Linked DNA regions of Oryzias latipes. The protein of the gene in region 1 purifies or fractionates together with the protein of each later gene. This does not show direct contact. Links are inferred from orthologs where the notes say so. Each region holds a gene or a part of one and is shown on either strand. Other genes may lie near its edges.

Region 1 (4,071 bases):
TCGTTTTGTGTGTGTTTTTTTCATTTAAGGCACGTACTGCAGTTGCAAAAAGACCAAAAAGTTGAAATGTATCCACAACAATCTAAATTCCTTGGGTGTGAAGCCAGAGCTGCACGACTCATGGTGAATGCCGTTTTGCTTTTAGACAAAAATGAAAAATCAACAGAACATTTTTAACCTGCAAGTAAACGCAACATGGTATCATCCAAAAATGTGTCGGCGTGAACGGATTTTTGCATCGTCGTGAATTGCGTTCAGTACATTATAGTTCATCAGGATTTGATTTTGATCATTTACTCACCAAAATATTGATACACTTGTGCAAGGTAGTACAAAGTATGAGTGTAGGCCAGCTCAAACCTAGTGAGGAGGGAGACACAATTACAAACTATAGTAGGCAAAACATTTAAATACCAAATAAAATAAATTCTGGAGTTTCTACTTCTTGGTTCTTTCCTGATGAGTCAGCTGGTTCTCCTCAGAGCAGAAGTACTCTGTCATGTCTGTAGGGGGACTCCCATTCTGAAAATAGAATCAATAAGGAGGATTTTCCCACTTTGTTTCTGCAGATGGCAGCCCCATGTGACAACTTTAGCAACGTAAACAAATGTGAAAGCCTTTTTATTTGAATAATCCCACAGATATCTAGTATGAAACTGCACTCGGATAACTCTGATTACAAGTTGGATTTCTTAAGAAGGGGTAGAAATGATCTCATTTGAGGAAAAAACTAAATAGATGCTAAGGTGTGGCTAAACCAGGGCTGCTCATTCCTGGTCCTCAACATCTACCACCCTGTTGTTTCCTGCATCAGGTGTCTTCAGTCAATGAGAAGGTGGAAGGGACCTAATAGAGCTAATCAGCAGAAAGCAGGGCTCGGTCTGGAAAACAGACATGGTGGTATATCAGGGCCAAACCATTTCACATTAGAGCCGGGTGCTTGTAAGAGTTGTTCACCTGCGCTGCTGTTGGGTTCCTTTTAAAATGAACAAGCTGCATCGGCCATCTCAAACTTCCTTATGTACTGGAACACAACTTCAACATTGAAAGTGAAACACTTAAGAAAGCTTCCAAAAAAAGATTTAAACAATGTAAACTAGGGTATTCCATTTGCGGCAAAACAATGTATTGAAAACAGTAATCTTGAAATTTTCTATTTCCCTGTCTTAAAAACTCTCTGTGTCGTAGATCTAGATTTTTTAGAGAAAGACATACCGAACAAGCTCCTGCATAAACATCCAATTCATCCCTATCCTGTGTGGTCAAATGGAAATTTTATTCTAAGTTTTCTGAATTAAAAATGGATTACTAATAATCTAAAATTCACATGCACCCACAAAATAATGTGAGTGCATGTGAATGAAGAAGAATAACTTTATTTAAACCTTTTTTAATCATTTTTTCCCCTCTTTTTCATTTGCTTAAATTTACTTGTCAACCCATTATCAGTGTTGATAAAAGCTACCTGATTGTTCATATAAAGCAAAAAAAAAAAAATACCCCACTAATCAATACCTAGCCATATTAGTTAAAGACAAAACAGAGTCCAAGTGTACATTCTGTAACTCTCACTCTGAAACTGTTTTTTGGAAAGACTTTGTTCAAATTAAAGTCTATGAGGATATAACCATAAATTGGGAATATGTTCTGTAAGTAGATAGTAATATATTTTATGTAGTAAATATTACCAGTCTCCAAAATCCAAATTCCTGCATAGTCTCGACTATTTCCAGAAGCTCTCAAAGCTAATGAATGGGCAGCAGTGGCTAAGGCGTTTGAGCAGGTCGTCCAATGATCACAGATATATAAATTATTACTATTATTGTTTATGTTGTAAAATAGAACATCTTACTGGTGGTGCAATCCCCTTGGAATGTTTTTCTTTTTGTTCCAATACATTTTCTGCTTGTTCTTTTTGTAATGTTTATAATGTTGCCATTGAGCCATCCTAGATGGATGAGAATCTCCACAAAAAATAAACTAAAAAGTTTCACATGATATTAAACTGCATTAGGGCAGGTGTACCTCCTTCATGTAAAGTTGGTAGATGGACTCTGCAGTTTCAAGGAAGCCCTGGGACTTCTCCGTCTCATCTCTGCCTGCCCAGAGGATCCCCAGCTGATTCTGTCAACACGAGGAATAAAACACATGATCAGCATCAGGGAGGGAGGGGATCTCCATCAGCTGATCTGCCACAAAGGTCTATGTGTGGTCGAACACCCTGTAGCTGCACTAGTACGGCCATTTTCCCCTAAACACACAAACGCAAGTCATAGCTGTAGCAGATTGTGGTTACGACGCGAATAAGGCCACAAAACATTGCCAGTGTTACCCTGACGTGGATGAACAGCGACACGTTCTCCGATGACACTCTGCATTTGCCCAGATGCTTCATGCAGTTCATCAGATGCTCCTGCCCGGCGGACAACTCTTCTGTGTCCACGTGGTTGACGCCCAAATAATACTCCACAGCTGCGAGCCTGGCTGCTCGAAGCCCCGCGCGCGAGTCGCTGCTCCATCCCCGGCTGAACGCATCCAGATCCACCGGCTTCTCTCCGTCCAGAGGCTCCTCCGTCGGCTCCGGCTCGCTGCTCTCTCCGTCGTCGTGCTCCTCGCCATCTCCTGCTTCAAAGTTCTTCAGCGAGCAGTATATCTCTGTCAGAAGTTCCCTTGCCTTGTATTTGGATCGGAAAGGGTCGTTTTCGGGGTCGTTTCGTGATTCTACGTCGCTGAGCTGTAGGGCGTTGGTGAATTTGGCGCAGACAGCTTTCCACTCGTTACTGCTGAACGACGCCATAATTGTTTTCTTCTGCGGCGGTAGACGCCGTTCGTTTTCATCTGTGCTGCAGGGGCGTTACTGCCATCTGCTGGACAACCCCGGTACTACTTAGAAAAAACTTATTTTAAGTTAAAAAGGAAACTGGATTCTTGAATCTAGAAAAATTGTCCTGCTTTTATCCACAAGAGCCAAAGCATTAGCTTATTAACTTACTAAAATAAACATACGTTAGTTTTAAACAATGTATGTACGTTCCACAGTTTCAGAGAACAAAAGGTATAAGAAAATGATTTTTTGAGACAAAGCTGCAAGATTAAATAAATGCTTAAAAAGAAAAGAAAATAAGTTTAACTGCAGGTGTCAAGTGATGTAACAGTTGAAAAAAAACACATTACTGTGCTTCCATAAAATGCAACTCAGCTCATCTCAACACAAATAAAATTAGTGCATATGCCAAAGATCACACAAACATAATTGGAAAAAAAAGAGATGATCTCACAAATTATATTATTCTATCAAGTTTATTAGAAATTTACAACTGGAACATCAGGGAGGGAAAATGACGTGAGTTCATGTGAATGACACAACTAGGAGATGTTTTTTGTGTTTAATCCACACTGACAAACACAGCCTGTTTCATCTATTTTTAAATGACAGTCATATAGACAGGCATGATTTTCAAGTCAAATAAATATGCTATAATTATAACTAAAGAGCATCAGAATTTATTTGGTTTTAAGCTAAGATAATTTTCTAAAATAATCATATTTTTGAAGAATATTTTGCAATTTATGCAGCTAGAATGGCCTGGTATACTGGACATATTTCATGCTCTAAAGAATTTGGAGGCAATGACCTATAGAAATACAAGTAACATTACATTTTTCGTCAGGTGTGTTTGATGTCAAGCTAACAATTTTACAATTCAGTGTACATTCCTCACATACATTTTGTGTTGTTTTATGCAAATAATTTAAAATATAAATCACAACTGCTGACCTGTTTTTGGAGGAAAAAAAGTCATTAACTAATCTTGAAAAGAATGGATTGAAAATCTGCAAAAGTGCAACAGTTGTTTCACTGATTGAATTAATGTTTGATGAATGAGTATGGATGTTTAGAAGGCTCCTGAAGCAGCACTTAGAAGTCATTATCCATCATCCACCCTTTTCTGCTATGAAGATCCAGTCTTCTTCTCCATGCTGAATCAACAGAAAAACGGGGATTTCAGTTAAGTCGAATCCAATCAATTTAGCTACTACTGAAAATGGCAAAATAAAGAAGCATTCTTC
Region 2 (4,315 bases), on another chromosome or scaffold:
TGTAGCTCTTTGCTTGTTACCCAACTCCAACCAGCCCTAAAAAAGATTCCAGCAGATTGTAAATTAGTCTCAATGACAACTTGAACTTAATAGCAAAAACTAGTCACAGCCTACCTTGATGTCACCAAAAGAGCTCACCACATTCCTGAGGAGGAAATATTCAAATGAGCAATTCCACAAACGTAGTGCTTCTATTAGTCTCTTTTGACTGTAAAAAGTGATTTTGCAGGAACAGAAAAATGATTTTCTTACGCGGAGAGATCAGCAACATAAGGGCCGTGAACTGGATGCTCCCTCACCCGGAGCTATGAAGTCCAATAAAGAAAGATTCATTTTTAGTTTTTTTTTTCTTGTCTAAGTTTAGATTTTTATTGTAAATGTGATTTATTGTTTCCTCCTAGCCAGGACTCCCTTAAAAAAAGGGTTTCTTAACCTCAATAGGACATTTTCTGGGTAAATAAACGTTAAATGGAAAAACAAATAAATAAATAACAGGCTAAATTCATTTATCAGAAAAGAAAGGGCATAAGAAACGTCAACAGTTTTTTGTCAGTTCTACTAAATGCTAAATTATATGTTAACAGAAAACATGCAATCATTCTTTGAAATAATGTGTAGATGGAAGAAAAGCAGAGTTGCATTTTTAGTATTTCAGTCGCACTACTCACAGGCATCCTCCTCTGAGTCGGTTCATCCCTGGTCACCAACAGGTCATGGATTTTTTCATTATATACTTCAAAGTAACTCATCTCTACATGATATTTCACCTTCAAGAATAACAAACAAAAAAAGTGAAAACTCTGCATGTAGGAAGTGAACCAATCAGGAGAAGTCAAAGTCTTTCTGGTTCAAGTGTTTTCTAGGAAAACGATGCAAACCTAAACAAAACTCAAGACAGAGATGTTTCCAATGACTTTGCATAATATGACATAATTACCTCTACATTTTCCAAGGACGCCAATTTAGAAAAAAGGTCTTGACAAAATCGAGGTGTAACTCCGGCCTCCCCCTCAAAGCCCATCATGCTGTAAAAAAAAAACAAAAAAAAACACAAAGTTTGGCATTGCGGGCTGGAAGAAAAAACAGGGCGATTTTACAGTGCGAGTGGGGCAAAACGTACGTATATGATTTGCCAGAACCAGTCTGACCGTAGGCAAAAAGGCAGGTGTTAAATCCTTCAAAGGCCCTGAGGAGCAGAGGTTTAGCCAGAGTTTCATACACCGTCTGTTGGCTGGCAAACGCAGGATTGCTGTCGTCCACTGAGCAGAAAGAGAAGTCGTATGTGAAAGAAAAGCTCTGTTTGGAGTGAGGATGCTGGACAAGAGTATCCTGGCCACTTGTGAAGATGACCTGCAATGCCTTCTCGGCCTTCTCCCTACAAACCAGAGCAGAAACGGTTAGACATTGCAACTTAAATGTTTAACGTATAGCATGCAACCCTTGAATGTATGGTTTTGAGGGTAAAGATTGCATCACAAACCTGGGACTGAAGGGGCGGATCCGCACGGCCACAGTGACAGCACTGTTTTCCATCTTGAAGGATTCCTGCTGTCTGACAGCCTCACTGGGATGCGTTAACTGCTCGGTGGCAGCGGTGGATGTTCTCCTCACATCCCCTTTTCTTTCTGAGATGGAGGTCTTTTTCTCCTGAGCCACAGAGCAGCTTTTCAGATGACCTCCTGAGATCTTGCAGACCCGAGGATCTGGCTTGGTGAACTCTGCTTGTTGTTGTGCTCTCGGTTTGGGCATTTCCAAGCTTGCAGATTTGACAGCCACAACCTTTGGAACTTCTTTACACGCTAGCCTTTCAAACACGTCTCTTTTGGCAGCAATTTTTGAAAATGGAGTCTTTCTGTTGGGAGTTTTAAAGATCTGAGACTGGTCTTCAGATGCAGTAGAGGTAAAAGAGGTCTTACTCCGCACAGAGCTCAGACTGGACGTTTCTGCCAACTTGTTGCTCTTAGAATCAGTTTCTTTCAAGCTGGTAGACCTGAATAGAACAGGAGTCCTCCCGTTTGAGTCGCTGAGAGCTTTAGGTGTTGGCTGCCGGACGCTGACCCTGGTTTTATCCATCGAGGGCGTTCTGGTCCTGCGTTGCAGAGTTAGCCTCTTCTCCGGAGCTGGAGTGCTGCTGTTCTTGCTGCTTTCTAGCATGGTTTTCTCTGCCGTCTCAGCCCTGCTTTTTCTCCTTGACCTCCTCTGCAAAGTCAGTCTCCCTCGGTTGGGGGTCAGCTGGCTGCTACCACTTTTTGACAGCGCATGGGTTACATAGTATCTGGTCGCCTGACGGTTCTTTTCAGACGACTTCCTCCTGTCTGCGCACACCGATTCTGAGCTGGAGTTCTCGCTTAGAGACAGGTCTGTTGCCTGTTGCTCACCCTGACCCTGCCTCTCTCTTCCCAAACTAGTCCTGGGTGTTGACGCCGACAGCAGGTGGTCATAATAAGCCGTGTGCTTCCTCGTCTGTACGCTAAACAACGACATTGTGCTCAGGAACAAAATAAAAATAATCAAACGCTCACCTTATTTAGCTTGCTAACGGTCATTCTGTTTTCCTGTATACACGAAAGTTTCCATCTAAATCTCCCTAAAAAAGTTACTCCAAAACGTATCTGGACTTAAGTTTTTTTTAAAAAGTGGGTATAATATATCCCGAATACAACGTTAGCTAAAACGACCGCTTTTGTTTACTATTGTTCCAACCTCGCTTGCTTCCGCCTTTGCCCGCTTCAATTTCAAATGGGTTACATCCTTCGTCGTTGATTGGTTGAATTCTGGAACGTCATCACGCCCATTGGTTACGTTTAACAATTGCAGCATAAAAACGAACGCTAGATGGCAGCACAAATAACATCTTTTTTCAGGATTCAACACTGACAAATCGTTGTTTTTTATGTTTATATATAGAAAGAGAGAGAGAGAGATGGATTTAACTATGGAACTGTATAGTTAACATAATAAAACATTTAAATGTATAACAAAACATGACCTAAGACTTGTTGAAAAACAGTGTCCTATTTCTTTTTTTTTTTTTACCCCAAATGATTTTTGACATTGAATCATTTTATTATTTCAAAAACAACAAAAAACAACTGAAATGTAAATAATAAATAAACAACCTAAATGCAGGATTGACTTGAATCAACTATTTCTTGCTACGATGGTGTTTCTTTATGATGTCAAGGAGGTTGTTCTTGGTGACCAGGGTATCCTCAGGTCCCAGTGTGGATTTTTGTCTTTCCCTCCTTTGCTGCTCATGGAGGTAAGGTGAGTTTAAAAGCTGAGGAGGCAAAATGGATCCAGTGGGTTTGACTCGGTTCACCACTCCCAAGAACAGCCTTTTGTTGTTGTTGTTGAGAAAGGTGATAGCTGTTCCCCTGTGTCCAAGCCTCCCTGCTCGACCAACCTGGATGAAAGAAAATAGAGATGTGGCAAAATCAGCTAAAAGATAACACATACATAGAAAAAAGTACAATAGAAATTAACTAAGTAACCAAATTCCAAACCCAAGTACCATTATATGTGTAAAGGATGAGGATATGTGATCAATCAGGTGTCCATTATCTGACGTGGAGGTGTAAACCAGTTGCTTCCATGAAGGCCTATGTTTTTGATAATGGACACCTTATTGGAAATTATTCTGCTTATACCATGGTCACTTCCGAAAGAAAGAATTTTAAATAAATTATTAGCTGATTTTTATCATTATTAGTACGTTTTTTCCAAGAAGCTGACTATTCGATTTGTGGTCTGACGCGTTGTCATGGTACGTATGAGGACTAACCAGCGAAGGTAAATGGTTTTTATGATAAACGCCAACGTTAAGTGTGACAAAGCATAACTTCAGAAGGAAAGTTCACCTCTTATTACTTGTTTTTGCCCAGATGATGAAGCAAAATTTAGTTTTGAACAAACAAAGTTCACAAGTTGGTTCCTAGATCACTTTTATGGCAGGAAATATCCACCATTAACTCTGATCATTAAACGTGTATCAACAAACAAACATTTTCTTTCATTAATTAATAATAAAATTATTTATAAACGCATATTCAGTCTGTATACATCAAAGCAATAAGGCAAGCAAGACAAAAAGATGGGCATAAACCACGTAAAAATATAGCAGATTCAAGCCATTTGACTGGAACTTCTTCTTTAGGTCTCCATTATCACTTTCTAGGGGACACCCTGCAGCCAATCAGAATCGAGTATTCACCCTGACCATGGTATAAGTCATTTGTCTTGGGTTATTGAGTATTGTAAATATTGCAAAGTTGCTATTGAAATAAGCAATGTTTTGTGCGGTTTTACTAACCTG

The links.
Region 2: the proteins of kif1bp (region 1) and kif14 purify together in Homo sapiens (affinity purification with mass spectrometry; 3 studies listed by BioGRID and IntAct, counting the BioPlex papers as one, with this or other methods). This does not show direct contact. The link is inferred for Oryzias latipes from reciprocal best matches to the Homo sapiens genes KIFBP and KIF14.

What each region holds. Positions count from the first base shown.
Region 1 is NC_019861.2:24,154,640-24,158,710, reverse strand, and holds the start of kif1bp (KIF1-binding protein), read right to left. Parts: upstream 2,824-4,071; 5' UTR 2,798-2,823; coding exon 2,333-2,797; intron 2,125-2,332; coding exon 2,026-2,124; intron 523-2,025; coding exon 443-522; intron 361-442; coding exon 302-360; intron 1-301. Other genes in the region: mpc1 (mitochondrial pyruvate carrier 1), read right to left, coding at 3,954-3,981. UniProt on the Homo sapiens protein: Activator of KIF1B plus-end-directed microtubule motor activity. Required for organization of axonal microtubules, and axonal outgrowth and maintenance during peripheral and central nervous system development.
Region 2 is NC_019862.2:11,250,130-11,254,444, reverse strand, and holds the start of kif14 (kinesin-like protein KIF14), read right to left. Parts: upstream 2,804-4,315; 5' UTR 2,485-2,803; coding exon 1,481-2,484; intron 1,376-1,480; coding exon 1,121-1,375; intron 1,026-1,120; coding exon 938-1,025; intron 768-937; coding exon 669-767; intron 306-668; coding exon 253-305; intron 146-252; coding exon 115-145; intron 37-114; coding exon 1-36. Other genes in the region: probable ATP-dependent RNA helicase DDX59, read right to left, coding at 3,146-3,406, 4,313-4,315. UniProt on the Homo sapiens protein: Microtubule motor protein that binds to microtubules with high affinity through each tubulin heterodimer and has an ATPase activity. Plays a role in many processes like cell division, cytokinesis and also in cell proliferation and apoptosis.